Ovis aries: one gene and its partners. The protein of the gene in region 1 purifies or fractionates together with the protein of each later gene. This does not show direct contact. Links are inferred from orthologs where the notes say so. Each region holds a gene or a part of one and is shown in the gene's direction. Other genes may lie near its edges. The genes, in order: ILF2, HNRNPR and SF3B4.

What was found.
Region 2: the proteins of ILF2 (region 1) and HNRNPR purify together in Homo sapiens (affinity purification with mass spectrometry; 3 studies listed by BioGRID and IntAct, counting the BioPlex papers as one, with this or other methods). This does not show direct contact. The link is inferred for Ovis aries from reciprocal best matches to the Homo sapiens genes ILF2 and HNRNPR.
Region 3: the proteins of ILF2 (region 1) and SF3B4 fractionate together in Homo sapiens (co-fractionation; 3 studies listed by BioGRID, with this or other methods). This does not show direct contact. The link is inferred for Ovis aries from reciprocal best matches to the Homo sapiens genes ILF2 and SF3B4.

Annotation. Positions count from the first base shown.
Region 1 is NC_056054.1:104,108,383-104,118,640, reverse strand, and holds the start of ILF2 (interleukin enhancer-binding factor 2), read left to right. Parts: upstream 1-3,667; 5' UTR 3,668-3,718; coding exon 3,719-3,723; intron 3,724-4,415; coding exon 4,416-4,475; intron 4,476-4,682; coding exon 4,683-4,725; intron 4,726-5,293; coding exon 5,294-5,398; intron 5,399-5,771; coding exon 5,772-5,849; intron 5,850-6,157; coding exon 6,158-6,260; intron 6,261-6,753; coding exon 6,754-6,819; intron 6,820-7,286; coding exon 7,287-7,403; intron 7,404-7,885; coding exon 7,886-7,964; intron 7,965-8,622; coding exon 8,623-8,710; intron 8,711-9,121; coding exon 9,122-9,183; intron 9,184-9,261; coding exon 9,262-9,376; intron 9,377-9,582; coding exon 9,583-9,673; intron 9,674-9,812; coding exon 9,813-9,973; 3' UTR 9,974-10,258. UniProt on the Homo sapiens protein: Chromatin-interacting protein that forms a stable heterodimer with interleukin enhancer-binding factor 3/ILF3 and plays a role in several biological processes including transcription, innate immunity or cell growth.
Region 2 is NC_056055.1:243,234,162-243,244,436, forward strand, and holds the start of HNRNPR (heterogeneous nuclear ribonucleoprotein R), read left to right. Parts: upstream 1-3,722; 5' UTR 3,723-3,817; intron 3,818-6,932; exon of another isoform or gene 6,933-6,935; 5' UTR 6,936-6,944; coding exon 6,945-7,101; intron 7,102-9,345; coding exon 9,346-9,464; intron 9,465-10,010; coding exon 10,011-10,118; intron 10,119-10,275. UniProt on the Homo sapiens protein: Component of ribonucleosomes, which are complexes of at least 20 other different heterogeneous nuclear ribonucleoproteins (hnRNP). hnRNP play an important role in processing of precursor mRNA in the nucleus.
Region 3 is NC_056054.1:100,030,217-100,040,614, reverse strand, and holds SF3B4 (splicing factor 3B subunit 4), read left to right. Parts: upstream 1-4,526; 5' UTR 4,527-4,563; coding exon 4,564-4,597; intron 4,598-5,043; coding exon 5,044-5,172; intron 5,173-5,403; coding exon 5,404-5,946; intron 5,947-6,265; coding exon 6,266-6,472; intron 6,473-7,446; coding exon 7,447-7,620; intron 7,621-7,815; coding exon 7,816-8,003; 3' UTR 8,004-8,229; downstream 8,230-10,398. UniProt on the Homo sapiens protein: Component of the 17S U2 SnRNP complex of the spliceosome, a large ribonucleoprotein complex that removes introns from transcribed pre-mRNAs.

The DNA of each region.
Region 1 (10,258 bases):
TTCGCAACCCCATGAACTGCCCCATGAACTGCAGCACTCCAGCCTTCCCTGTCCTTCACCATCTCCTGCTCAAATTCATGTCCACTGAGTCAGTGATGCTATCTGACCACCTCATCCTTTGCTTCCCTCTTCTCCTTTTGCCTTCAATCTTTCCCAGCATCAGGGACTTTTCCAGTGAGTCTGATCTTCACATCAGGAGGCTAAAATATTGGAACTTCAACTTCATCAGTTTCAGTCGTTCCCATGAGTATTCAACGTTAATTTCCTTTAGGACTGACTGGCTTGATCCCCTTGCAGTCCAAATGGACTCTCAAGAGTCTTCTCCAGCAGCACAATTTGAAATCATCTATTCTTTGGTGCTCAGCTTTCTTTATGATCCAACTGTTAAATTCGTATGACTACTGGAAAAACCATAGCTTTGACTGTAGGGACCTTTGTCAGCAAAGTGATGTCTCTGGGTTTTAAAATGCTGTCTGGGTTTGTTATAGTTTCCCTTCCAAGGAGCAAGTGTCTTTTAATTTCATAACTGCAGTCACCATCCCCAGTCATTTTGGAGCCCAAGAAAATAAAATCTGCCACTGTTTCCGCTTTTTCCCCATCTATTGGCCATGAAATGATGGGACCAGATGCCATGATCTTTGTTTTTTGAATGTTGAGTTTTAAGCCAGCTTTTTCACTCTCCTCTTTCACCTTCATCTAGAGGCTCTTTAGTTCCTCTTCATTTTCTGCCATTAGAGTGGGGTCATCTGCATATTTGAGGTTATTGATATTTCTCCTGGCAATCTTTAAAATCTTTAAAGACAATCAGAAAAAAGACTATTGGTTACTCTCAGAAGAGCAATCATTTGACTAACAACTCTTTTTTCACAGCAAAAATGGAAGCCATAAATAGTAAAATAATATTGTAAATGTGCTGAAAGAAAATGACTTCCAGTTTAGAATTACATATCTAGAGAAAATTTCCTCCAAAAACAAAGGTGAAATAAAAATGTATTCAGAGAAGCTGAAAACAAGAAAGTTAGCCACCAGCAGAAGGGCACTAATTCTCAAGGAGTATTATTCCATAGTGTTGTGGATACAGGAAGGAATAAAAAGCTTTAAAAATGGTAAATCTCAGTGACCATTGTCTTAGTAAGCATTAATGTCTTATGGGATTGAAAATATATATGGAATTTAAATTCTGTAAACATATACACCAACACTTACCCAATAGGAACAATTGCATCTCACAAGAATCTTGTACAAAAATGGTCATAGCAGCTTTATTCATAAAGGCTTCAAACTGGAGACAACCCAAATATATTAGCCTGTGTCTCAGCCAGTCAGCGGAGAAGGCAATGGCACCCCACTCCAGTACTCTTGCCTGGAAAACCCCATGGACAGAGGAGCCTGGTGGGCTGCAGTCCATGGGGTCACTAAGAGTGCGGACGCGACTGAGCAACTTCACTTTCACTTTTCACTTTCATGCATTGGAGAAGGACATGGCAACCCACTCCAGTGTTCTTGCCTGGAGAATCCCAGGGACAGAGGAGCCTGGTAGGAGGCCGTCTATGGGGTCGCACAGAGTCGGTCACGACTGAAGCGACTTAGCAGCAGCAGCCAGTCAGAGGTCCTGTATTCAACACAGGAGAATGGATAACAAACTGTGGAATATTTATGCAATGGAATGCGACTCATAATAAAAGGGAACAAATTACTGACAGACGCAAAACTTCAGAAGAATTTTAAAATGGGTCAAACAAAAGAAGCTAGACAAAAAAACGAGTACATAGGATGTGAGCCCTTTTATGTGAACAACAGACAAAAGTAATCTCTGATAATAGAAATTAGAATAGCGATTGCCTCTAGGAGAAGGGCAAAGGGGTATCAGTGAATTTTTTGAGGTGATAAAAATGTTTTATGTTAATCGTGTGGTGGTTACCTGGGAAAAATTTATTACTCAAAATTAATCAAGCTGTAGACTTAAGATCTGTGCAATCTGCTGTAGTAAATAATACACCAATATAGTACTTAAAGGGGTTACACAACAATATATACAATCCTGGAGGGAGTGATGGTGGTAAACGGAATTAAATTTTCTTGCATTTTTCTCGAGGAGGGAAAAGATTTCATAAAATTAGACTTTGGCAATCGAGGAGGCGCGTCATAATTTTTAGGATAACAACTAGAAATGTAGAAAAGGAGTGGGAACTCTCAATTGACAGAAGCAGAGAAGGAATAATAAACAGTAATTAATGCAAAAGAAGGCAAGGAGGATAAACAGGATTATAGGAAGGACAAAAAGCACCTTGGAAGAAAAGTTATGACCAACCTAGATAGCATATTGAAAAGCAGAGACATTACTTTGCCAACAAAGGTCCGTTTAGTCAAGGCTATGGTTTTTCCAGCGGTCATGTATGGATGCGAGAGTTGGACTGTGAAGAAAGCTGAGCGCCGAAGAATTGATGCTTTTGAACTGTGGTGTTGGAAAAGACTCTTGAGAGTCCCTTGGACTGCAAGGAGATCCAACCAGTCCATTCTAAAGGAGATCAGCCCTGGGTGTTCTTTTGGAAGGAATGATGCTAAAGCTGAAACTCCAGTACTTTGGCCACCTCATGCGAAGAGTTGACTCATTGGGAAAGACTCTGATGCTGGGAGGGATTGGGGGCAGGAGGAGAAGGGGACGACAGAGGATGAGATGGCTGGATGGTATCACCGATTCGATGGACGTGAGTCTGAGTGAACTCCGGGAGATGGTGATAGACAGGGAGGCCTGTGCTGCGATTCATGGGGTCACAAAGGGTTGGACACGACTGAGCGACTGAACTGAACTGAACTGAATATGAATTGATGTAAATGCAACCACAGTATATCCATATACTTGGCTGTGAAACTTTGCATAAAGGTGGAATCCGCCAGAGAGGTTGTAGAATGAGGAAAGGAGAGGAAACGACAAAAAATGGCAGCGGTCTGGTCCTTCTCTCCTGTCGCTTCCCTTGCCCTCCTTTTCTGAGCTCTCTTTCCAAAGGCTGTCTCAGTTTCCCTTCTAGTCCCTCACCATCAGTACTTTCCCTGAGTCAATCAACATACATACTCATATCCGTTTCTTCTGCTTCAGCCTCTGTGAACCACATCCAGACATGTAGTGTTCACAGTCACCCAAAATCCCTTCCTACATGATTTCGGTTGCCTTTTCCATTTCACTCGCTGATGGCAAAAACAGCTTTTAAAGGCTGCATATTTTGAGGGAGAGAAAAGTAGGATTACGGTAGTTACATTTACTGAAGAAATTTAAAACAGAAAAACTGTCCCAGGAGAAAAAAATTAAAAAAGCACCGCTAGCAGAGGATGGTTTCGATCCATCGACCTCTGGGTTATGGGCCCAGCACGCTTCCGCTGCGCCACTCTGCTGTTGCCGTTTTCACCCCCCAAGAATCATAGAAAGGTCTCTAGATGCCAGCCACACTAATTTCTTTACACAGCGCTCTCTAGTGTCTGCAAAAGGGCGTTAACGTCTAACCTGTTCTTATTGGCTAGTTACTGACAGAGCAGGCCCTTTTCATTGGCTCAATAAACCGGTTTGCCAAAGCAAACCAATAGGCACAAGCAGCGGAGTACGGCGGGAGCCAATCGCGCTGGAGTTTGTTGGGACACGCCGGCAAGCTGCCTCTCCAGTTGTCGGCTCCCCAGAGGAAAGGGGCGGTTGGTGTGGCCTCCATTGTTCGGGATCTAGGACGCCATGAGGTAAGGGTTGTGGGGTGCCCTGGAGAGGTTTCAGGTATTCGACCGAAAACTTTAGGAAGTTGGTCCGAAAGGAGTCGGCGGACTGGAAAGGGCCATGTACCTGGGGGTTGCACGGAAACCTGAGAACTCCGGCTCTAAGAGAAGGGGAGGTCGGGGGCAGTGGAGGCGGGGAAACTTGGCCGGGGATGGGGGGTGGGGCCCAGGAGTCGAGAGGCGGTTCCGACTGTTCGCTCTCTGGGGGGTTCAGATGAGAGGGTGTCCTCAGGTTCCAGGAGGAGCACCCCCACACCTCCTATTTAGACTGAGATGGCTGGAACGTGTCTCATTCATCCTCAATGCCAGTTGCTTGACATACACGATACGCCTGATAGATGCTTTTACTACATGAACGAATGAATAAGCAGTCACATTAGTCTGCGAAGTATTAGGGTTGGCGGGACCCGGCGATTATGGGATGTTTCTTGTAGGGCTCTCTTTAATGTGGTTTGATGTGAATCAGTTATCCAGTCATGGGGAGTGAGGCTGGACATTTGGAAGGTGTAGAAGTGTAAGTGAGAATGGGATCCTTTGGCTTCCAAAGGGAAGTGCAGAGCGATAGAGGTAGGCTAACCTGAAATCATACGGCCGGTACCGAGGAGATTGCTTCAATGAGATGAAAAGAAAGTTAAAATATGTTAATAATGCATTTCTAGGGGTGACAGAGGCCGCGGTCGTGGCGGGCGCTTTGGTTCCAGAGGAGGCCCAGGAGGAGGGTGAGTGCCAGTCCTTAGCATCTGTGCCCGTTGGTTTCCCTTTCAGTCATCTAAATAGGAGTGGAGTATCTTACCTGCCTTGTTGAGATCCAGCTGTAGTTTAGAAGTATTCTTCTCATGCTCTCTTGATAAATGAGTTTGGCCCCATTATGTGAAGTCAGTTTGATTTATGTGGTGAGTAATCTGGATTGTTTTTCCGCTTTTTAGGTTCAGGCCCTTTGTGCCACATATTCCATTTGACTTCTATTTGGTGAGTACGGTGTCTCTTCCCTGGTGGCTAAGAGGTTAAAGTGTCTGCCTCTAATGCGGGAGACCTAGGTTCGATCCCTGGGTGGGGAAGATCCCCTGGAGAAGGAAATGGCAACCCACTCCAGTATTCTTGCCTGGAGAATCCCATGGACGGAGGAGCCTGGTGGGCTACAGTCCATGGGGTCGCAAAGAGTCAGACACGACTGAGCGACTTAACTAACTTAACTTTGGCCACTATTCAATTGTTGTTTCTTGGAACCTGGTGTCTCCCTGTTAATGAAGTCATGTGGTAGTTGGAGTAGAAAAAGGGAAGTTTTGAGTCATCTGTGTTGCTTTACATACAAAAAAGTATAACCTGGGTGGGGAAGATAGGTCCTTCATTACAATCGACAGTAACATGATTATAATCTTTGTTCTGAACAGTTAATTGTATCACTGCCTTGTCTGTTAATATTAGGGTCACAAGAGTATAAGTGTTGTAGAATTATCTCTTTTTTTGTGTTGTGGCAACAGAAAAATCTGTTGCATATTATTTTTGGCAAGTAGTATATAGTATATTTCTTGTTTAGTGTGAAATGGCTTTTCCCCGGGTCAAGCCAGCACCTGATGAAACTTCCTTCAGTGAGGCCTTGCTGAAGAGGAATCAGGACCTTGCTCCTAATTCTGCTGAACAGGTATATTCTGTTGGTTTTCTTCCTGAGATTTCATGAAGGAAGCTAGAGAAGTAAATAGCTACTTGGTGAGATTACTGTTGTCAGAGCCTGAACTCCACAGGTTTAATCATTCTTATTTTTCATTGTGTGTAAAGGGAGAGCATCAAGTGAATGTATAAACAGATTACATGTGCGTTCATATTATTATTGGGGAATCTGTCGTTGGGATCAAAGTTTTCTCTTCTGGCATATTCAAGGCTGGGAGGGTCTGGGTGCTTTCAGAATCCGGTATAGGTGTTGATTCCTATTGAAGGAATTGGGGAAATAGTCAAACTTGATGAAAAGTTGCTTGGTATTTCACCTGAGGGTATTTTTGTTTCCTGCTATTTTTCAGGCCTCTATCCTTTCCCTGGTGACAAAAATAAACAATGTGATTGACAATTTGATTGTGGCTCCAGGGACATTTGAAGTGGTGAGTTTTTGAAGATCTAGTCCTAGGAAAGGGAAGTCATGGAAGTGTGAAAGTTTCCTTGGTTCCTGTCGCTTGATTCTTCAGATGCTTATTTAAAGCCACTCTTGGAATGGGAAAGTACAGTAGAATTCCTTTGTCGTGCTGGTCTTAGGGACCAGATTCATCATTGCTATCAGCTAGCTGTAATGAATCAGGCTTTTCATTGCTCATTTTGGAATATGATTTGAACTCTGCTACTTCCAAATCTGGGTAATAAGCTTCTCACTTGTAAGTTTTGTTTTTTCTTTCTTAAATCCCTTTTCCAACAGCAAATTGAAGAAGTCCGACAAGTCGGATCATATAAAAAGGGAACGATGACTACAGGACACAACGTGGCTGACCTGGTAGTGATCCTAAAGATTTTGCCAACATGTAAGTGTGCCTCTCTTTGGCCACAGCAGCAGAACATAGCAGTTGGATTTGAGGCATAGGGATTTAAATGGTGTGCTGTATGTGAAAGAATGTATGACCAGTTACTGCAGGACGGACTTTGCTCCCCAGGGGACATTCAGCAATGTCTGGAGATGTTTGAGGCTAACGTCTTCTGGTAGAGGCCAAGGTTGCTGCTAAGCATCCTGCAGTGGACAAGACAGACCCTACCTCCCAACCCCAAACAAAGAATTATCCAGGCCAAAATGGCATTAGTCCCACTGATAAAAATCCCTACTGTGGAAAAAAGCGTGTAAAGGAGGAGGTGTCATCGAGCCTTCAGTTTCTCTGTTTTTACAAACTTCCCCTTGCAAAAGTGTGTATTCAGTTGCTTTTCGTTGCTCTGCAGGAATCAGAGTGCAGAGTAGCTTTGAGACATAGAAAGTCTACTAAAATAATTATAATCTTCATTATCTCTTTTTCTCTTTCAATCTAGTGGAAGCTGTTGCTGCACTAGGAAACAAGGTTGTGGAGAGCCTAAGAGCACAGGATCCTTCTGAAGGTTTGAGTTTGTTGCTGAACATGTAATACAGTGGTCATAGAAGCCAGGTTTATAAGTACATTTAACAAAGTCTGGTCAGGCTAGAAGGAAGAGTGAGCACAGAGTTTTATGTTGGGGAGGTTTCTAGCGGAGATCACCAGCGTTCAAAATCTAATTGATTTCCCTTGCTTTTAAAATTCTGTGTTCTCAATTCTGACTCTGGACTGTTGCTGTTTTTTAAAAACCTGGGACTTCCTAGTGATCCAGTTGTTAAGATTTTACACTACCAATGTAAGGGGCATGGGTTCGATCCCTGGTTGGGGAACTAAGATTCCATAGCCAAGTAAATAACAAATAATAACAGATAGATAGATCTGTTAGATAAATCAGTAGATAAATACAATATCTGTTCCCCTACCCTCATCCTGGATTTACCTTTGGTCATCTAATGGAAATGTGAGTGCAACTTCTGATTTTTCTTCTTTCAGTTTTGACCATGCTGACCAATGAAACTGGCTTTGAAATCAGCTCTTCTGATGCTACAGTGAAGATTCTCATTACAACAGTACCACCAAATCTCCGAAAACTGGACCCAGAACTCCACTGTTAGTCCTTTTATTCCTTTGCTGTAAAATTTGGGGGAAATTAAAAATGTGGTATTAAGTGCTATTAATTTATTTCATTTGTTGCTATTCCACATGAGACCTTTTGGGGACCCAAGTTTACCCCCAAACTTTGCTGTCTTCCTTTGTAATTTGGAAGCAGTTTTATCAGCTTGCTAATGAAATTGTCAAAAACAGCCAGGCCAAGAAAAGCAGTTTGAGGACTTAATAAAAAGGACTGAGGAAATATTTATGGAGGGGGTAGGCTTTTGGAGAAAACTGGGGCTCTTTCATGCTTCCAGATCTGGTTTAGGGGAGGAACAGTGATTTGGGGATTTGCTGATCTGGGGACATGGGGATTAGTTCAAGGGATTACAAAGTTATCCTGTCTTCCTTCTGAGTTCTTGGAGTGTGGCAGTGGAATTGAATTGCTTGCTCAGTAATCGGAATGTTTCATCTTGGTGGATGTCATGCTTGTCTTCTAGTGGATATCAAGGTGTTACAGAGTGCCTTAGCAGCCATCAGACATGCCCGCTGGTTTGAGGAAAATGCTTCTCAGTCCACGTGAGTCCCTCCCTATTTGAGTGATGATATATCCTAATCCTAACTACACTGAACAGCCTGATAACCCAGTCTTTCTGACAACTGTTTTAGACCGATTTTCTGTCTGGATTTTGATTTTTTTTTTACCTGAAGTACTTGGTAGCTCAACTGGTAAAGAATCCACCTGCAATGCAGGAGACCCCAGTTCGATTCCTGGGTTGGGAGGATCCCCTGGAGAAGGGAATGGCTACCCACTCCAGTATTCTGACCTGGAGAATTCCATAGACTATATGGTCCATGGTGTTGCAGAGTCAGACATGAGTGAGTGACTTTCACTTCACTTCAAGCAACTTAGGTTGAGGGAAAGAAGGGAATAATTCTGGCAATAGCTTCAGCTCTGTGCCTTAGGTATAGAAGTAAAATCATACTGCTTTAATTTTTAAGTTACAGAAGGCCCGTCTTGTACAGTGTATCCTTGTAACATTTATTTTATAAGTAGTAGTTTGCGCCTCTTAATCCCATGGCCCCTATTGTGCCCCTTCCCCTTCTCTCTCCCCATTCGTAACCACTAGCTTGTTCTCTGTATCTGTGGGTCTGTTTCTGTTTCCTTTCTGTTATATTCACTGATTTGTTTCATCATCTGTTACTGCTTTTAATTCCTGGTGCCTCTTATCTTCAGAGTTAAAGTTCTCATCAGACTGCTGAAGGACCTGAGGATTCGTTTTCCTGGCTTTGAGCCCCTCACTCCTTGGATACTTGACCTACTTGTAAGTAATGAAGGGCAACTGGAATTCCTGATCCACCCTATGAGTCAGTAGTCTGAAACCTACCATAAAATGAAACTTTGGTACAGATTAAAAGAAATCTTGGAGGAATGGAGGGACCAAAAAAAAAAAAAGCAGCAGCAATCTCATTAGTGGATAAGAAATCCAATAAAGATTCAATGTTCATTATTTCTTGGGCTTTTGGAGTATTCAATTAAATGGGAGTTATTACTGCTCCTTTATCTTTTTCATTACTGTTGTCATTAATGTGGTAAAGGAGAGAAATTACTGAATGAGCAGTCATTTCAAAACTGCTTCTTGAACATGAAAGTTTTCTTCATGATGGTTTAAAGTTTTAATTTGTTTGAAGATAGAATTGCCACTTTATGGCACACTTACCAGATTTTCTTGTAGGGACACTATGCCGTGATGAACAACCCCACCAGACAGCCTTTGGCTCTAAACGTGGCATACAGGTACAGCATGCTGCTTTGGGGTTGGGGTTTGACTGTAAGTTGTCTTGTGTGTTCTTCTAATACCTCTCCATGTTTCAGACGATGCTTGCAGATTCTGGCTGCAGGACTATTCCTGCCAGGGTCGGTGGGTATCACAGACCCCTGTGAGAGTGGCAACTTCAGAGTACACACAGTCATGACTCTGGAACAGCAGGTACTGGTGCAGCTCTGAAATGGTCCATTGTGCCCCCCTCTTGAATATCCCGTGTCAGAAAGCAAAGGAAATGTGATCTTAGTGGTCAGAGATTTGGGGGTTCTCACAAATTTTGGTTTTGAAATTAAGATTTCTTCATCTTTCATGAAAATGAGAAGGTATTTTGATTCTCTTTGCTAATTTACTCTTACTTTGCTCTCCCTCAGGATATGGTCTGCTACACAGCTCAGACTCTGGTCCGAATCCTCTCACATGGTGGCTTTCGGAAGATCCTTGGCCAGGAGGGCGATGCCAGCTGTGAGTGGCCACCATGGGGCGGGTTCAGGATGCGCCGTGGTCCACAGAGTAACTGCTCAGTGCCCTCCGTGTTTTCACTGCGAAGGGCATGACTTGGATGTTGGGCTGCTTGTCTGAAGTCACCTTTTTTCTCTTCTAGATCTTGCTTCTGAAATATCTACCTGGGATGGAGTGATAGTGACACCTTCAGAAAAGGCTTATGAGAAGCCACCAGAGAAGAAGGAAGGAGAGGAAGAGGAGGAGAATACAGAAGAGCCACCTCAAGGGGAGGAAGAGGAAAGCATGGAGACTCAGGAGTGACCTCCGTATCTCTTCACCTCCCCTTTTTTACCCAAGGGGAAGACTGGAGCCTAAGCTGACTGCTGCTGGGCTTTATGTGGTGGCATTTCTGAGGGAGTAAGGGAGACAGGAAGGAAGATTTTTAAAGAAAGACTCTCTAGAAGGAAGTGTCATTCCACTGGGTTCTGAAACTGTCTTAGTGATCAGAAGTCTCCCGTTTATGACCTGTGTCATCCATCTACAGTGAAGCAAGATACCAACTTTTCTTCCTAATATTCTAGAATCCCCAGCTCCTGAAACCTCTCT
Region 2 (10,275 bases), on another chromosome or scaffold:
GCGCTCCCTAGCAATTCATTTTATTATGTTTATTTGTATACTTGTCTTGCCTTGTAAACTGGAATGTAAGCACTTAGAGGACAGCGATTATGGTTATATTTTGTACTTTTACACAGTGATTTATATGTAGAGGGCATATAACAAATATTTGTGTAATATCACATTCATGAATACACACACACATACAATTTTCTTTTGAAATGCAAAGCTCAGGTGCCCATATTTTCCAAATTTAAAAAAACCAGATACATGGTCTGAAAAGGTGGAGTGTACTTAGGACCATACAGGTGAGTATTTGACCTCAGAAAATATTGGATGATAGAATCACTTTACTTACAGTATCCAGTCCAGGAGTTTTCATTCTATATTAAATGGAGAAGGGTCTCTGACTGGAATTCACTGGTCCTTCAACTTGAAAGAAAAAAAAATAACTATTTTTGTTAATATACTGCTGAAATTAAGCATTTTCCCCCACTGTGAATACAGGAAACAAACCACAGTTAGCGGTAATTTTCATTCTGTCACCAATAGGAATAACAGATATTTTAATATCGCATTCCAGCTGTGGGATTTCTTGAAATACCTTTTTGCTTTAAAATTTCAGTAGTTTATCTTGCTGCAAGATCTTGATGTTTAAAGAAAAAGATTCAGTTCAGTTCAGTTGCTCAGTCATGTCTGACTCTTTGCGACCCTATGCATTGCAGCACACCAGGCCTCCCTGTCCATCACCAACTCCCAGAGTTTACCCAAACTCATGTCCATCGAGTCAGTGATGCCATCCAGCCATCTCATCCTCTGTCGTCCCCTTCTCCTCCTGACCCCAATCCCTCCCAGCATCAGGGTGTCTTCCAATGAGTCAACTCTTCGCATCAGGTGACCAAAGTATTGGAGTTTCAGCTTCAGCATCAGTCCTTCCAATGAACACTCAGGACTGATCTCCTTTAGGATGGACTGGTTGGAGCTCCTTGCAGTCCAAGGGACTCTCAAGAGTCTTCTCCAACACCACAGTTCAAAAGCATCAATTCTTCAGCGCTCAGCTTTCTTCACAGTCCAACTCTCACATCCATACATGACCACTGGAAAAACCATAGTGTTGACTAGACGGACTTTGTTGGCAAAGTAATGTCTCTGCTTTTTAATATGGTATCTAGGTTGGTCATAACATTCCTTCCGAGGAGTAAGCTTCTTTTAATTTCATGGCTGCAATCACCATCTACAGTGATTTTGGAGCCCCCCAAAATAAAGTCTGACACTGTTTCCACTGTTTCCCCATCTATTTGCCATGAAGAGATGGGACCAGATGCCATTGTCTTAGTTTTCTGAATGTTGAGCTTTAAGCCAACTTTTTCACTCTCCTCTTTCACTTTCATCAAGAGGCTTTTTACTATATCATAAATGTCTTAAATATGTATTTCCTGATTGTATTTCAACATAAAATTTCTTTTATAATGCAATCTATTTTACTTTGCTCTTTTAAAAACACAAAAGATCCATAGTTTTACCAGACTCTCATATGGCACAAAATAGGTTAAGAACCCTCGAGCTAGATGCAGATTTATGTGAAGCTAATAAAGTTTAAACTTCAAAGTCCCTTTACCATGCCCTTCTAGACTCTGTTCCTAAATTTGTATTCATCATTTTATATTATTTTTCTTAAGGATCCTAGCATATACATTTTAATTTGCATTATAAAATTATTTATAATTTATATATATAATCATAAAATTACATAAGATTATATTAATCATTTCAAATTATAAAATTAGCATTTTAATTTACATTATAATTTGCATGAAATGGGCTTGCTTCCCTGGTAGCTTAGCTGGTTAAAGAGTCTGCCTGCAATGCAGGAGACCCTGGTTCAATTCCTGGGTTGGGAAGATCCCCTGGAGGAGGGCATGGCAATCCACTCCAGTATTCTTGCCTGGAGAATCCCCATGGACTGCAGCCTGCCAGGCTCCTCTGTCCATGGGGTTGCGAAGAGTCGGACACAACTGAGCAACTAAGCACAAAAGATGCTTGCTCTTTAGAAGCAAAGCTATGACAAACCTAGACAGTGTATTATAAAGCTGAGACATCACTTTGCTGACAAAGATGTCTACAGTCAAAGCTATGGTTTTTCCAGTAGTCAGGTAGGGATGTGAGAGTTGAGCCATAAAGAAGGCTGAGCACTGAAGAACTCACACTTTTGAAACGTGGTGCTGGAGAAGACTCTTGAGAGTCCCTTGGACAGCAAGAGCAAACCAGTCAATCCTAAAGGAAATCAACCCTGAATATTCATTAGAAGGACTGATGCTGAAGCTCCAACACTTTGGCCACCTGATGCAAAGAACCCATTCTTTGGAAAAGACCCTGATGTTGACTAACAGTGAAGGCAGGAGAAGGGAGCAACAGAGGATCAGATGGTTGGATGGCCCCACGGACTCAATGTATACGAGTCTGAGCAAACTCGGGGAGATGGTGGAGAGGGAAGCCTGGCTGTGTTGTAGTCCACGGGGTACACAAACAGTTGGACATGGCTTAGCTACTAAACAGTAAAATCATTTGCATAAATTTCACACCCCACGCTGCAGAAGTTGGGTTGTCCATGACGTTCAGCCCAGTACCGAATGCATAGGTTTTCAACAGCTAATTTTTGGCTGATAGTTTCCGGGAAATTTAAATTATCCTTGAAGTGTATCTGGAAATCTTTCAGGCCACTGCTTGGCTTCCTTCTCGCCTGGAGAGGGACAGGGCATTGGAGATGGGGAAAGAAGGGCCGTGGGATGAGTGAGGTTCGGACTAAAGCGAGGAACAGGGGACAAACCAGTAGGGGTGGAGGGTGAGAAATGTTTAAGAAAAAAGGGATTTAGCCTCCTTTGGGAATTAGCTCTTTTCCTTGCACGGTTCCTTTGGCTTCGTAGATGCATACACCTGCCCAATGTTCTTTTGTGAATATGAATTAGCTCCAAACCCCACGCAGAAAGGTCTCAGCTCTGTCATTTGTAGCTAACATGACTCTTAAGTAAATGCCCACTTGAGCGATTTCCCTCACATCCTGAGCTGCTCCCAACCATGTGTGGAAGAGAGCCAAGGAGGGAGTTTTCTGAGTGCTCCAAGGGATGATTTTTCTCCGCGAAGAAATTCTCCAGCAAAACAGACGAGCCAAACCCCTACAGCGTGCTCTAACTGGAGCCCAGAAAACGACCTAGAAGAGGCCCGGCCGCGTGGCGGTGGGCGTGTCCGGGGTGAACGCGGCGGCGGCGGCTGCCCCTGGGAGGCGGATTACCGGCGTTAACACGCCGGTGAAGGGGCGGGAAGGCCCGAGGGCCCGCGGCCGATGGAGCCGATGCGAGCCGTAGGGGGCGGGGTTCCGGGGGCGGCCTCGCGCGGGCGGCAGACGAGAAGGGACGGGAGAGGGGGCGGGCCTCGGCCACTTTGGGCCTGCGGCCCCACAGCCTCGCCTACCACTCGCGGCTTCGCCACAGACCCCTTTGTGTTCCTGCCCCCGCCCCGGAGGCGCCCCAGCCGGCGGCGCTGAGTTCCCTCATTGGCTCAGCCGACGGCTTCCGCGATTGGCTTCTGAGCCGTCCGGCGTGGGGCGCCTCTTCTCTCTGCTATTGGTTGTCTGGGCTGTTCGTCAGGCCGCCGCGCGAGGTGATTGCCCGGCAGCTCAGAGTCCCTGGAAGCAGTTCCGGGAAACCCCGCGTGCTGCCGGGATCGCGTCTCGGTCCGTGACGGGGGGGGGAGGGGGTGGTGCGCGCGCCATTTCTAGTCGTTTTCAAAGCGCCTCGCGCTGGTTCTCACGGGCCCGGCCACCGGCCCCAGCTCTGCCCTGGTGAGTCTCGCGCCGGCCCGCGGGGGGAGGGGCCGGGAGCCCCGATCCGACCCTACCGGGCCAGGCCGGGGCTCGGCGCCTGCTCCCCAGTTTCGTCTTCGCTCCGAGGCCCCCAGGGTGGGGGTGGGGATGGGCTGGGGGCGGCTTCGGCCTCGTCCGGCTGCTCAGCGGAGGGCCTAGCCGCCGCCGAGGCGCTTCCTCGCCCTCGCTCATCCTCCCCGCTCTCCCCGCCACCCGCCGCCTCCCCTCCAAGCCCAGGCCCGCGGTCCGGCCCGCCGGGCGCCCTCCGCGCGGCCTGCCGGGTCCGCCGCGCTTTTCCCGCCTCCGCCCGCCGCTCCACGCGGCCGAGTCGGCCGCTTTCAGTCCCCGCTTTAGATAGACCCCGTCGCCTCTCCCTGCCGGAGCCCCGCCTTGCTCCCCGTCTCAGCCGGCCTAGCCGCCCGTGGGGTTTGTTGATGGTCAGGACCGGCATGGGCCGGGGTGGGCCGAGGGCGGGATGCCAACCCGGGTGAGCCGAGCCGGGAGAAAACTTTTGTGTGAAGCAGAGGCCGAGAGGCCAGTGTGTGTAGGAAAAGGCCTCCGTTTCCCCTCCCCAGCCGCCCCCCTCCCCCAGTTCTGCATGCTGCAAGTCGAGATTTGAAGGAAAAAATGACTACTAGAGGCCATGAAACTTAGGCTTCGAGCGGCGCCTGAGATACCGAAGTCTAAATGCCATAGGCGCACTCTTGGAAAGGCGATTCTCTTTTCCTTCTGCGATAGAAACCGTATTGCCAAAATTTTAAGACTCGAAGAAGCCACGGGGATCTTGAAGGGTTCAGCCCCTTCCACACTACCTGTTTCAGATTTTTTGCTGTCCTCCGGAGTCTAAATTTATGTCTCATGAGTCAGTCGTAGGATAAGGGCTTGACACTCCTAAGCCATGAGAGAACCGTTAGTTTTCATTTCATTGGATCCTTAAAAGCCGGTCTCTTAAAATGAGAATTATTTTCACGAGATGTTCAGAAAAAAAAAAAAAAAAAAAAGGAAGGGGCTAGTGCCAGATTTCCCAAATTTCCCAGCGACCCTGATTTTAATTTCTCCTTTTTGCAAAAAAAAGTTTAGATCAAATAACATCAATCATATTAATATATTTGCTGCATCCAGAAATATGGTTTGGCTGTGTGGCATTGAATTGACACAAGAGTTTTAAATGGTCATATGACATGAAAGTCTTTTTTTAATATGAGCGCATTATATTTGGTTTGAAGAGAGCTTTTTCCTTGATCTGGAAGGTGTTATTTTCTGGACTCTCTTAATAGTTGTACTTTTTTGTTAAAGTTTACAGACATTTTTTGAAAATTTCAACCAATTTAAAAATCAACTTGTAGAGAGCCTTTGCAGTGAATGATAGTCATAAATATTTGTCTTGTGCTTAATACACAACTTGTCTTTTTGCTTTACACATAACTTTAAAAATACCACCTTAACAGATTTTCATTGAACTTTTCTGTTAAAAATTTGCTTTCTTTCCGTGATTGATAGTATTCCCAGGTGCAATACCGCAAGGGTCTTGTGATACTGAGAACTTTTGAGTTCTAATGATCTATCTTATGGTCGTATTTGAGGGTGGGTGAGCATGGAAAACAACTATACGTTCCCAAAAATATTTTGGACTTGAAGGCTTCTTTATAGAAGTAGGTTGTACTAATCAGTAAACTATTCATCTTACACTATAAGTAGTTTCTTTATCAAAAGTGTCAGTTTTGAATGTTTTTGTTTTTGCCAGTTCATCAGAGTTTGAGTTTTGCCTTGAGAAACATTTATCCACCCAGAGATTAACCACGGAGTCTGCCTCTATATAGACATTAGTGGGTTACTAAGTCTTAATGTTTTGTAATCATAAGAAGTTATAATACTGTTTATCTCATTTTCAGAGTAACAGTTTGTGCCTTTTCCTCTCTTCCTGCTTTCTGTTACCTCCTCAGTCTTCCTTTTTCATTAACTTCAACGAAATATCAGGGGGCTTTGAAGTTGTTTTAAGTCAGAAAAACTGCACCTGGTGTATTTGCACAGGGTTTTGATAAGCAGTCTGGAAGTGTGGTTATCTTAGGTATGGATTTTAGTGCTTTTTAGGAAACTTGTATTTTCTTTACAGCTGTCTAGGTATCTTCAGTTTCATCAGGAAAAGTAGGCTTTTCCTTGAAATCCACCTTCATGTCTTTTATTTCAGTATTTGTTGCAATGTCTTTATTCTGCTGCTTATTATCTTCATCACATTATAATTTCACCACAGACAAATGCACTTTAATTCCCTATCTTTTGCGGAGCTAGTATAGAGACTGGCCTTGTATGGTTTTATTATTTAATCTCTCTTCAGGGAGTTGATCCATTTCAGCATTACATAAAAGTTGAACACCCAAAATGATTTGGGTAGGTAAATCTGAGACATCTGACCTAAGTTTAAAAAGAAGCAACCTTAACTACAGCTCACTTTTTATTTTATGTGGACTTAAAACAATCATTTAGCTTTTAAACCTGGTCATTTTTTCTTTTAAATCTGTGAATGGGAATAGCAAATTAATTTTAGAACAAAAATTAATGTCAAGCTGTGTTTTTTAAGTTAGGTGGAGAAAACCCAAACCAGCAGCATGTTGAACTAGAGACAACAGGGCATTTATTTCACACCTATGTTGTTTTGAAGCAGAGCTAGTAAAGTTTGAAAGTCCTTGAACCTTAAGTTGTCGTGGGTGTTCATTCTGTTTTTAAACCAGACTTTTTAAAACTGTTTAAGAATTGAGAGCTGAGGGGCTTTTTAGGATTTTGTGATGATCTGTTGATAAGCTCATCAGGACACAACTGCTGCTTTTGTTAATTAGTGATTCTACCTTAAATAAATTCAAGCTTTTCTCTAACCTGGTGTACATGAAGTTCCTTAAAAATTCAACACTTCCATGTACATTTCCCATGGTTTTACAGAATTATCGCAAATTTAGGTCAGATACATCAGAAAAGCCATCAGAAATAATATTTCGATAGAGGTTATTAGCAGCATGTATACAAATTAGATAAATCATGCATTGTCCTACAAACTAGTTATTTCTGGCTTAATGTAATATAGCTCCTGAATTTTTTCCAGCAGCATAATAAAATGGCTAATCAGGTGAATGGTAATGCGGTACAGTTAAAAGAAGAGGAAGAACCAATGGATACTTCCAGTGTAAATCACACAGAACACTACAAGACACTGATAGAGGCAGGCCTCCCTCAGAAGGTGGCAGAAAGACTTGATGAAATATTTCAGACAGGTATAATATACATTTCTTGTTTCTGACTGGTTATGAAAGTGAGGGCAAACCACTTTGAATTTTATAGATTTTTAAAGGTTAAATATTACTTATTGTTTCTGATCTATGTAGAGCTGAATGTTACTTTCCCTTCATTGAGGGCATATTGGGTTTGACTTTGATATTCTTATTTCATTATTTTGAAGCCTTAGTGTTGAATATGCAGTCTGAGTTGTTTCAGAACAGTACATCAATTTGTCTTAGATTTACCATCAATTAAAATGTGTTTCAGCATATCAAATTTACATTTTTTTCTTAATCTAAATCAGTTGTCATTTTGCTTTTACTTTTCTACCTTTAGCTTCTTAAAGTGATTGTTAAAATAGCTTAGGTCTTATTTAGGTGGCATAATAAGAGGACTAGTTAGATGGTATTGTCTGAAATGATAATAAAATGTCAGACTCCTTGAGAGTTGGTGGCCTGTCCAGTTTGTGACAGACAGAAATCTACAACTCTCAGTAATTTGGACGTGTTTGGTTTGTAACAGCTGTGTTTTTTTTTAAATCTAGAATCCCATGGTTAAGTGCTTAAGCAAATTTGAACATTTTAATATGGTGGTTGTAAGTGGTTTGAAGTTCTAAAGAGGGAGAGAAATATATATACCATTAGAGAGCATTGTTCATAAATAAATATGTCCTCCCCCTTTGGGGCCATTAGATGGAAGCGTTCTTCCTCTGTGTTTTGTGTGCCTGTCCAGATTCTGGGAGAGAAAATGGAATTGTCTCACAGACTGTGTCTTAAGTACTGTAGTAACAAATAACTGTTTTTTTTGTCCTTATTTATTTATTTATTTTTAAATCCGAGAAGCTCAAGCTAAAGCTCATTGAGACACTAAAATGACTTCTCAGACTGACTCCTGGGTGATGGTCCCTTTGAAAATCAGTGCTCAGAAGCTTTCTTTGATGTTCTGCCATAGAGAATTGGCAGTGATCTGCTTTGAGATGCTCTCTTGTAGAGTGTTTTGTTATTGATAAGAGGTTGATGGCTTGGGTGTAGGGTTGGATTGACAGAATGTGATTGATGGGTATCCTGAGTTGTGACTTTGGGTGGTGATATGGAATAGTCAAGTAAGGAAATGCCAGTTATTTTGGCATGCTCATTTTGAGCTCTTACATCATGGCATCTTTTTTTTTTTTTTTTTAAAGTAACTTTGCAAGTGATATTATGGAATAAAGTTCTTTTTGGCTTTACCAAAATGGAGTCACTTTTGATGTTAGTTCATATGGACTTGGGGCTTTTAATCTGCCAAATATTTCCATTTTACTTTGGATCAATTCTGAAATATATTCAGAAATATAAAATTTAACAGACTTAAATTATATTTAAACATAGTAGATGTTCTTTGTGCAGTTAAATATACTATATGTATATATAGAATGCAGTGCATATATTTTTTATATACTTTGCTTTAAGTCCATAGTAAAGTCCTTTTACTGCCATTTGAAAAAAAATTGTCATTGTTGACAGTGTTGCTAATGCTACAGCATCTTTTAAAATCTCAGTGTGACACTTGTGAAGAACAAAAAATGCCTTAAAATATGACTTTTCAGAATTGATTAATCAAGCTGCACTTGCATTTATAGGAAAAATTTAATGTAAAATATGCCTTTCCACATTCTGACTGCAGCAAAGTAGATGCTCAAAACAAATGAAACTTCATTTTATCTTTGGTGCTAAGGAGGGAAAGCCTTTGACACTTGTTGGAGAGTGGGAAGAATTATTTAGCAAAAATAATTCATTTTTTCCCGCACTTCTTGGGTGGTTAGCAACAACTCCAGCAGTCCATATAATCTGAAGGTTGATTCTTGGGAAATACAGTGTTTTGTTTTTTTTTTTAAACCACGCTAACGTAATCAGAACTTACTATTTTAATGCTTAATCTGTAGTACAGTGTGTATGTACATCAGATTTAACTTCCAAGATTTAAACATTTTGGAGAGTGGGAAATGGGGTTAGAGTTTTTTTTTTGTGGGATGTGGGGATTGAAATTTGTTTGTAGATATTAACATTGTGTCTTTTGTTTTCATATTTGTACTCTTGATCTTTCTATATAGTATTTGTATAGCTGACCTATATGCGTATAGTTGAATGAAAATGTAGTTAGTGATAGTATTGAATATAGCAATTCTCGATGAACATTGATAGCTCAGTTTAGACTATCCTCTTTGTTGCAATAATGTTACCTGTTTTCAATTTAATTTTTAGGATTGGTAGCTTATGTCGATCTTGATGAAAGAGCAATTGATGCTCTCAGGGAATTTAATGAAGAAGGAGCTCTGTCTGTACTACAGCAGTTCAAGGAAAGTGACTTATCACATGTTCAGGTAAGGACATTATCCAGTAAAGTCTTTGAACAACTAATGATCTGAAATTATTTTACTATTACTCTTTTTTTGTGGATAAGTGGTATTTTTTATTTGTGACTACTTCTGCTTCTTTAAAAAAAAATAGCTTAAAAAAATCTACATGGCAAAAATTTTTCAGAAACGCAAGTATAAAGTAAAAGTCTCCCACTTCTTGTGACATTTTTGGATTATGTGAAACTGTTTTGTTTCTTGGTGGGAAATAGTGTAGACAGGAGGAATAGTTTCAGGACATCTGGCAAAAATAGCCCAGATGCATTTAAATATCAGCAAATGGAAGACTATTTTGCCATCGCTGAGGGTAAGCTCCCCAGAGGCCTTATATGTCTTAGGTGCTGTCAGTTCCAGTCTGGCACATAGCAGCTACTCAGCAAGTATTTGTTGAGTTAAGAAATGAGTGAATATTTTGTTTAAATTTTGTTCTTCTGAAATTTAAATTTAATTGTATATTTGACTCTTCAACAATTCCTGGTAATTATTTTTCATTGAATTACTTGGCTGTTCTAGAACAAAAGTGCATTTTTATGTGGAGTTATGAAGACCTACAGGCAAAGGGAGAAACAGGGGAGCAAGGTGCAAGAGTCCACGAAGGGACCTGATGAAGCAAAGATCAAGGTAAAACTTGAGTTGGGTAGTTGTAATGAAATTTAATCATGATATCAAATGCTCTAGAAATATTTCTTTCTTTGGATGGGTCAGGTTTTGGTGGTGGCACGAGGGATCTTCCTTGCAGGATGTGGGGTCTTGTGTTGCAGTGCAAGGGCTTCTCTGC
Region 3 (10,398 bases), about 4.1 Mb from region 1:
CAATCCTACCTACCCAAAACTTTCCCCCTCTGTGCCTCTTACTTCCTCCTGCCATGTTTCCTTTTCTCACTCTCTTCTGCCCTAGTTTCTTGGTCTTTCTTTCTTTGTCCCTTATCTCTCTTTATCACCCAGAGCGCGGTGATCGTGATTTCAATGGCCTCCTCTCTTCACTCGTCCAGCTGCTTTCAGCCCCTGAAGCCCGAACACTGCTTGGCTTCCAATCATTAGTGCAACGAGAGTGGGTGGCAGCTGGACATCCTTTCCTGACCCGACTTGGGGGATCTGGGGCCAGTGAAGAGGTGAGAATGTTTGGGGAGGATGTTATTAAGAAGTAGAGGGATGAGAAAATGACATACTAAAATCCACTGGAGGTGAATTAGGTCCAAATTAGGTCTGAGGTTGGGCTGAGCTTGAAAGGAGATCCAGATGAGGGACCCCAACCCCCTACCTCAACTGATTTCCACCCCCTGACCTCCTTAGTGTCCCCATTCCCACGTCATTCATCCTCTCCATTTAAGTCCCCACACACCCTTCCAACCTCTTAATTTCCCTCTTCTCAGGCCCCAGTGTTTCTCCTCTTCCTTGACTGCGTCTGGCAGCTCCTCCAGCAGTTTCCAGCTGAGTTTGAATTTTCTGAGTTCTTCCTTCTTGCTCTTCATGACAGTGTCAGAGTTCCTGACACCCTTACATTCTTGAGAGACACCCCCTGGGAGCGTGGAAAGCAGAGTGGACAGGTCAGTGACTTCCATTTTTGGCTTTCCCCTACCCATTAAGTACTCTCTGGGAGTTTCCTGGTGGGCTAGTGGTGAGGATTCTGGGCATTCACTGCCATGGCCCAGGTTCAATTACTGGTCGGGGGAACTAGGATCCCACAAGCAGTTTAGTCAACAAAAGAACTACTCTCTGAAGTTTACCCTTGAATATGAAAAGTGGTCTGCGGGTGGGAAAGGGGGAGGAGGTTGGCGCTTTCTTTCAGGACTGGACTTTCACCCTACATCTGATTCTTTTCTTTGTGTGTGGCTGTGCTGGGTCCTCATTGCTGAGTGGGCTCTTCTTTCAGTTCAGTTCAGTCGCTCAATAATGTCCGACTCTTTGCGACCCCATGAATCGCAGCACGCCAGGCCTTCCTGTCCATCACCAACTCCCGCAGTTCACTCAGACTCACGCCCATCGAGTCAGTGATGCCATCCAGCCATGTCATCCTCTGTCGTCCCCTTCTCCTCCTGCCCCCAATCCCTCCCAGCATCAGAGTCTTTTCCAATGAGTCAACTCTTCGCATGAGGTGGCCAAAGTACTGGAGTTTCAGCTTCAGCATCATTCCCTCCAAAGAAATCCCGGGGCTGATCTCCTTCAGAATGGACTGGTTGGATCTCCTTGCAGTCCAAGGGACTCTCAAGAGTCTTCTCCAACACCACAGTTCAAAAGCATCAATTCTTCGGTGCTCAGCTTTCTTCACAGTCCAACTCTCACATTAGTTGCAGCAAATTCTCCAGTTGTGGTGCATGGAGTTCTCATTGTGGTGGCTTCTTTTGTTGTGAATGGGCTCTAGGGTGTGCAGGCTTCAGTAGTTGTGGCATGTGGGCTCACAGTAGTTGTGACTCCCAAGCTCTAGATCACAGGCTCAACAGTCATGGTGCTCAGGCTTAGTTGCTTCAAGGTAGATAAGATCTTCCTGGACCAGGGATTGAACCTGTGCCTCTTGCACTGGCAGGTGGATTCTTTACCACTGAGCCACCAGGGAAGCCTTACATCTGATTCTTAGAATAAGATGAGTTTCACGATTTATCTCTAAACTGGGGAGGATTATATATTTTTGTTTAACCTTCCTCTTCTTGTTTCCTCTGTCTAGTTCAACAACTATACACAAGTCTATACCCCTGGGTTCCCAGGGGCTGGGAACTCTATTAACCCACAACTATCTGTCTGGGACTGGAATTTACGCTACAGCAATAAACAAATACTACAATTCTGTAATCCTGGCTATAACCCAGAACACTGCCCAGATTCCTGGCTCCCTAGACAGCAGGTAAAGTGTCTGAAGTTCCTAAATTCCTTTGATTTTTTTCACAGGCTCATCCTACTAGATGAGGAGAGGTGATAGTGTCTGAGTTCCTCATTCCCCCTCTGGTGTCATTTATAGTCCTAACTGTCCCCAGGAAGACAGAAATCCTACAAATCACAAATGGCATCTTTTTTGGTCCTCCTCATCCTTATTAGTCTTCTTGTCTCATGCACACATTTTTATGTTTCCTTAAAATCAACTTTAATCAGTCCTGAGGCCTAGTTTGAAGTCTAATAAGGAGAGCAGATAAAGTGTTCTCAGGGGAAGGCTTGTAGTTTGATAACTGGTACAGTGTGCAGTGGGTGACAGCTGGACATTCCTTCATGACCCAGTTTGGGGAAACTGGGGGTCATCAGGTTTCTAAGTTGCCAGTTGATTTCCTGTTCCTCCTTAGCCAAGCTTCATGGTTCCTGGGCCCCCCAGTTCCGTGTGGCTCTTCTCTAGAGGGGCCCTGACACCCCTGAATCAACTCTGTCCTTGGCGGGACAGTCCCTCCCTGCTGGCAGTCTCCTCTCGTTGGCTCCCTCGACCTGCTATCTCTTCTGAAAGCCTGGCTGATCAGGAGTGGGGGCTCCCCTCACACTGGGGAGCTTGCCCTTTACCCCCGGGACTGCTGCTGCCTGGATGTCTGGGACCCCAGATCAGGCTCTGGAGACGCTGCTACCTGAGGGGAAGGCCTGAGGTCCAGGTGAGAAGGGAAGGCAAAAATTGGGAGTGGGAGAAGGGGTCTGACTTTTGAACCAGATGTTCTAGGAGAAACCAGATGTTTCCAGGAGCAGAAGGGCAAGGGTTTGGGGGACTGGGAAGTTAGATACCATTCCTATTGGTATCAAAGCGGATAGATTTGGGAGTGTGGGAAAACTGCTTCTGGCTTATATCAAGTGGAACCTAGGGGATAGCTGGAGGAGGAAAGGGAACTAAGAGAATTAAGGATCCTCTCTGCCTCTCTTCACCCTCTTCCCAGATGGGCCTCTCAGCTCCCACAATCTCTGGTCTCCAGGAGGAGCTATCCCATCTTCAAGAGTTATTAAGGAAATGGACACCACGAATATCTCCCGAGGATCACTCCAAGAAAAGAAACCCAAATACCATTCTCTCCCAATCCCGTTGAAATTGCTGGCTTTCTCATGGGCAGGGCAGAGGGTGGTCTGGGGTGAGGGAGAGTTTTGTCTAATCCTTCGGTTTTTCTTATCTGGTCTTGCTGCCTCAGCTTTCATAAACAAGATCACTGACCTGAGTTTCTATTGAGGATGAGTGGTGCTAACCTTATCCAACTCTTATCCTGCCTTGTTTGGTTTAAACAGTTCTTATCATTTGAAGAATTAAGAAACAACAACAATCCAGAAGACTGCCTCTCTTTTTCAGGGCAATTCCATGTCTTTGGGATGGAAATTTTGGATATTGCGCTGGTAAATTGTGATAATCAGATATACTGTTTATCAGTGCCAACAAGATGGCCTACAGACCTCCTTCTCACCTCCTCTTGCTGCTTAATTCCAATTTCTATTTCTTCCCTTATAGTTTTCTATGGGTATGGAATATACACAGGACACCCTATCTCTTCCAATTATATATTTTCATTGTGACATTTCTATTTAAGGAGTTCATTAAAGCACAATATTTATACACGCCGCTGGCATTGTTTGTGTCTGATTAAAGGAACCTTAGGTAAGGGAGTGGTGGGAGAGGAGGGAAAGGAATGTGACCCACGAAGGGACGGTACCGACCATATTACTGCTAAGGAAGTAAGGGGCTGGGCTGCGTGAGGCGCTGCAGGATTCACAATTTAAGGTCCTCTCTTCCGTGTAGACAGGGCAAAGGCACGCCCAGAGGTTGCTGGAGTTCAGGGTGTGCTCTGAAGGCCTCGGCCTCGGCCTCGGCCTCGGCCTCTGGGCTTCAGTATCAAACCCCCGTAAACTTCGGTACCACCCCACCTCCGAACCTCAGGTTCCCCTCCTATGCAGTGACTAGGCGAGCTCAGACATTCCACAATTCCTTCCCTGAGGAAAAAGGAAATACCTCAAGCTCAGGCCTGGGCTGTGAGGCCGCGTCTGTTCAAGGACTGCGGGTTGGGATGGACGGTTCTCCCCACGCCTTGCGTTGAGCGGTTCCTCTGTACACCCTTCTAAGGGGGAAAAAAAGGCTACAAAACACATGAAAACTAAAGTTTTGTTCTCCCAGCTTCTGAAGTGACAGTTTCGGGAGCAGTGTGACCCTTTAACTTCTAGCACTGCCTTAAAAGAGACAGAACGTTTCCTTTTCACTTTCCCCGCCGCGTCCGCTCATAGTAGCACTTCTGCACGGGAGCGTGGACCGAAGCGCACCGCTACTTCAGCCGCTTCCAGTCTCAGCGTCTCCTAAGATGGCCGAGGCCGCTTCCGGCTCCTCCCCTGCCGCGGCCCCGCCCACCACCTCACGTCAGCCTTCGCCTCGGAAGCGGAAGTAGTGACTGAGGTCAGGGGGCGGGATCGCTGCCTGGAGACGGCGGGAGCGCTTTCGCCATGGCTGCCGGGCCGATCTCCGAGCGAAACCAGGGTGACTGGAGGGGACAGACCCAGAATGGACTCTGGGGGTTTGAGGGACCTCGACTAGGCCCAGCAATGTTTCCGCTGGGGCGGGAGATTTTGCCTTTCCGAAGGGCGCCAGACTGGTCCCGATGCCTTATGGGGACGGGATGGACAGACTTGAGGCCTATAGTTGTGATGCTGTGTCCAGTCCTCTGCTGCCTTCCCACTCAAAAAAAAAAAAAAGAAAAAGAAAAGTTACAGAGTGAACTTGCACCGTCACTCTAAATTAGACATAAGATTGTCTATTTTCTGGAAAGGAGGAGCTTCTAAAAGCTTAATCTAACATCTTTTTGTTTTTTCGCTTTTCTACCCCATCTCCACGTCCACTTCCTCCGCCTGGGTTCCATCTTCATGTTCCCGTTACCTCCCTATTTCCCCTCATCTCTGTCCTTACCTCTTAATCCTGTCTTCCAGATGCCACTGTGTACGTGGGGGGCCTCGATGAGAAGGTTAGCGAACCACTGCTGTGGGAACTATTTCTCCAGGCAGGACCAGTAGTGAACACGCACATGCCAAAGGATAGAGTCACTGGTCAGCACCAAGGTGAGTACACGGCAAAAAGTACAGTTATCTATGAAAGGGACAGACTGCTCCTGGAGGTCTCCAGTGATATTAAGTTTTGGAGTGAGCAAACTAAAGATTTTGTTTCTGGAACCATTCTCAATTGAAGTTGGGATTATTATTTCTTATCCTTTGTGCTTTAGAAGACAAATGAGTTATAAACTCGTTTTTAAATCACTTCAGTTGCTAACCTCTTCTTTTCCACTTCCCCAGGCTATGGCTTTGTGGAATTCTTGAGTGAGGAAGATGCTGACTATGCCATTAAGATCATGAACATGATCAAACTCTATGGGAAGCCAATACGGGTGAACAAGGCATCAGCTCACAACAAAAACCTGGATGTGGGGGCCAACATTTTTATTGGGAACCTGGACCCGGAGATTGATGAGAAGTTGCTTTATGATACTTTTAGCGCCTTTGGGGTCATCTTACAAACCCCCAAGATTATGCGGGACCCTGACACAGGCAACTCCAAAGGTTATGCCTTTATTAATTTTGCTTCATTTGATGCTTCGGATGCAGCGATTGAGGCCATGAATGGGCAGTACCTCTGTAACCGCCCAATCACTGTGTCCTACGCATTCAAGAAGGACTCCAAGGGTGAGCGCCATGGCTCAGCCGCTGAAAGACTTCTGGCAGCACAGAACCCACTCTCCCAGGCTGACCGCCCTCATCAGCTATTTGCAGATGCACCCCCTCCACCATCTGCTCCCAATCCTGTGGTATCATCATTGGGATCTGGGCTTCCTCCACCAGGTAAAGCTTTTGATAAAAAATGTTTGTGTTGGGTTGGGAAGGGTGGGGCCAGGAAGAAGGAAAAATAACCTGGCAAGGAGAGGACATTGAGTCATTAGGTGATGAGAAAGGGGTTGAGGGATGATGATTGTGGTGGGAAGAAAGTTGTTGAGTTTTCTCCAGAAGGTTGTTGTTCAAGTCACTTAATGTTGCCGCTGACTTCAGAGAGCTGGGAGGAGGGGAAAAGAGCTCATTCGGCCTGGAGAGGCCAGGGTGGAACAGGCTCTCTAAAGGCACTCTCTGCTCACTATCATTAACTGTTTTTCCATTTTCTCTATAGGCATGCCTCCTCCTGGCTCCTTCCCACCTCCAGTACCACCTCCTGGAGCCCTTCCTCCTGGGATACCCCCAGCCATGCCACCACCACCTATGCCTCCTGGGGCTGGAGGACATGGTCCCCCATCAGCGGGAACCCCAGGGGCTGGACATCCTGGACACGGACACTCACATCCTCACCCATTCCCACCTGGTGGGATGCCCCATCCAGGTGAGCGTTCTTTGCTGGGAAGGAGAGGGATGAGCTTGATGGAGGAGCTCTGTCAGCACTTAATGCTGCTGTTCTTTGTCCTTTAACAATAATAGATAGTGCCCAAGCTCTCCTTTCTTTCAGACATTCTTTTAGGAAAAAAATGCAAGATACTTTACCGTTTATTTTAACAACCATCATGCTGTCTTCATTTCTTGTTTAAGTTTTACCAAAGAGAACAACAGGCTCTCTGCATTGGTTCTTTACCACTAGCGCCACCTGGGAAGCCCAGGCTCTCCTATCCTCATTATTTCACACCTAATTTATTTTAGTAATACCCTAACTGACACTTTGACTCTAATTATCTCTACTTTGATTGACTATCTCAGAGTAATTTTTCTTAAATACAGATATTCACACACCTTTGCTCAAAATTCTTCTGGTTGTTCCTTTTTACTTACAGAGTGAAACCCAAACTCGCTATCATAGCATTCTAGGCTTTGCATAATCTGGCTCCTGCCTGTTACTCCCATGACTACAAGCTGTTCTACTGGGTTTCCTTTAACATACTGTGCTGTTGATCACATCCATGCTTTGCACCTGCTGATTTTTTTCTGCCTGGAATGTTCTTTTCCCACTCTGTTGTCCACCTGAAAAATTCCTGTTCATCCTTTAGAATTAGATCTTTGCTGTGACAGTGTCTCTGTTATCTTCCCAGATTCTATTCAGTAGAATAATCACGCCATTCTGCAGCACTGTTACAATGCCTAAATCATGGAAGGAGCAAATGGGCTTCAGGGACTGGGGAGCTGTAGGGTAGTTGGTTGATTTATTCTCTTGGGATGGAGTCAAAGATAAGGGCACTTTTTACCAGCTTTAATTTCTGTATTCTATCTGATGTCACTTTCTTCATTTTCTTCTCTGTCTTCTTTGCCCTCCTGTCTTCTAACTTCCTTTTGTCTCATTTCTCACTGTGTCTTGTTTTGTTCTCATAGGGATGTCTCAGATGCAGCTGGCCCACCATGGCCCTCATGGCTTAGGGCACCCCCACGCTGGGCCGCCTGGCTCTGGGGGGCAGCCACCACCCCGACCACCACCTGGAATGCCTCATCCTGGACCTCCTCCAATGGGCATGCCCCCCCGAGGGCCTCCGTTTGGCTCTCCTATGGGTGAGTAGTCTTTAGCCACCTCCCTCATCCTCACATATTGTTCTTGCAGCTTGTTTTGTCACACCTCTTATCCCCTGCACTTTCTTTTCTTCTCTTTCTTTTCACTATCTCCCAGTGTATCCTCTCCTTACATTGTCCCAATATGAACTGTCTCCTATTCCTTGTTTTTACTTTGTTTTCCTTTTTTACCTGCAGGTCACCCAGGTCCTATGCCTCCGCATGGTATGCGTGGACCTCCTCCACTGATGCCTCCTCATGGATACACTGGCCCTCCACGACCTCCACCCTACGGCTACCAGCGGGGGCCCCTCCCTCCACCCAGACCTACTCCCCGACCTCCAGTGCCCCCTCGAGGCCCACTTCGAGGCCCTCTCCCTCAGTGATTTCTCATTGTTTTTCCTCCTGTTGTAGCCTCCCAATATCTATTCACTTCCTTGGACCAATCAGAGTTGCTATAGCTCCGAGGGGCTAAGGCACTAATCCCTCTCAGGCCTTTCTTTTGTAAGTGTAATTTTTTCACAGGAGGCTGTATTTTATTTTATTTTTTCCTATGTTGGCCCTAAGTGTTTTACAAATACCCAGAGAAAATTAAACTAAACTCCTTGTTTATCGTTTGTGGTGCTTAACTTGACAGAATAACTTCTTTTTCTCTGAGAAGAGATGTCCGTATATTGGGAGAAGAACGGTAAGGTAGGAGTGAGGGTGTTTATTCCAAGTTTTAAAGACTTACTCTATAATGTGCTATTGCAAATGCTGGACTGCTGTGTACTGCAGCACTTGATTCATTACATCAAAGTTATACATAAGATGAAGACCCAGTATCTACGGCATAGTTGTTGTGAGTACTAAGTTAGAATAGAAGTAAAGTTCCTAGAAATAAGATGGCAAAAATAGGAAGTAACATGCACAAAGCTATTCATTGCAGCACTATTTGCAATAACAGATTGGAAACAACTCTCATATCAGTCAGTAGGGGACTGGTTGAATAAACTGGTAAATCTATACAGTAGGATACTAAGCATCAGTAAAAAGGAATGAGGGAGACTCTACACACTGATTGGAGAGATCACGAGGCTATATTAAGTGAAGAAAGTAGCATGTAGAACAGAAGGCATAATGTGCTTTCTTATCTAAAGGGTGACACATAATGTATGTTGTACATTTGTCTCTATTTTAAAAATGAAAGGATAGGGCTTCCCTGGAGCTCCAGAGGTTATCTGCTTCTACTGCAAGGGCCACAGATCCAATCCCTGGTCGGAGAGCTAAGATCCCTCATGCTACACGGCCAGAAAAAGGAAGGATAAACCATAAACTAATGGAAATTGATACCCACTGGGGGAAGGGAAGGAATATGGAGGGAAACTGGATTTCTCAAGTCCAATACTATGTTATTGTGGAACCATGTATCTTAAATGGTAGCAAAGTAATTGCAATGGGACTGTAGGAACTCAGTAATCCTTCATTTTCTTTTGTTCTTTATACTGCCAAATATCTTGGGTAAGGGGTTTGTATCTTATTCCTATTTCCTTTCTCCTCAGGCCTTCCAAACCTGATTTCCATCATATTTAAATCTGTGCTTAGACTTTAAGTAACTAGATCAAATCCAATGGCCTATTCTTTCCTTTGCCACATTTAATCCCGTTATATCATCCTCTTCTCCAAAGCTCTTTATGGCTTATGTAACCACGAACTTTCTTAAACTCCAGGCAAGAAAAGGTAAGCCTGGCCCTCTTGTTCTTTTGCATCGTTCTCATTCAGGTAATATCGTACACACAAGGACTCTGCTGGTGGCCACTGAAGATACAAAGATGAGCAGGGCAGTTCTGCTGTCTGATCATTACCAGGGGGTTGTGAAAGTGTTAGTCGCTCAGTTGTGTCTGACTCTGTGTCCCCATGGATCATAGCCCACGAGGCTTCTCCGACCATGGAATTCTCCAGGCAAGAACACGAGTGGGTTGCCATTTCCTTCTCCAGGGCATCTTCCCAATCCAGGGATCAAACCTGGGTCTCCCACCTTGCAGGCAGTCTCTACCGTCTGAGCCACCAGGGCAGTAGACTGATATATAAGAGATTATTATGAAACAAAATATTTTGAGAGCGGAAGGAAGGGTATCCAACCTGGCTTGAAAGTCCAAGAAAACTTTCTGGGAAAATGATAGTTGAATGATCTTGAAGGTTAGAAGCTTCTCAGACTAAGATGAAGGGAAACTCATTCCAGATCTGTGGGATGCTTCTGAGCAGAAGTAAAAGACTGATAAATAGCATAGTCTGTAATGTGCTAAAGCTAAAGCTGTTCAGTGCTGGAGGCAGGATGAGGTCAGAACCAGTCAGGGAGTGCCCAAAGATTAGTTCTCAGCCCTTCTCACATTGTGGCACAGAGAACCATTTCAAACAGCACACAGATAGGATGCTTCAGGCTTTACACTATTGGCTTAAGAATTCTAGGTTCCTCTGACCATGGGATTTCCCAGGCAAGAATACTGGAGTGGGTTGTCATTTCCTCCTCCAGGGGATCTTCCCAACCCAGGGATCGAACCAGCATCGAACCAGGAGAACCAGATTCTCCTGCATTGGCAGGTGGACTCTGCCACTTTACCACTGGGAAGCCTCCAGTGGGGAGATACTTAAAAGGCAAGTTAGGACGTGGTATTAGATTGGATACAATGAATGAAAGGAAGAGTGGAATCAAAGATGAGAGTATGCAGCAGGAAGAACTTGGGGAAGCAGGATAAAGATGATAAGCACAGTTTTGGGTATGTTGACTTTGTAGTGTGTTGG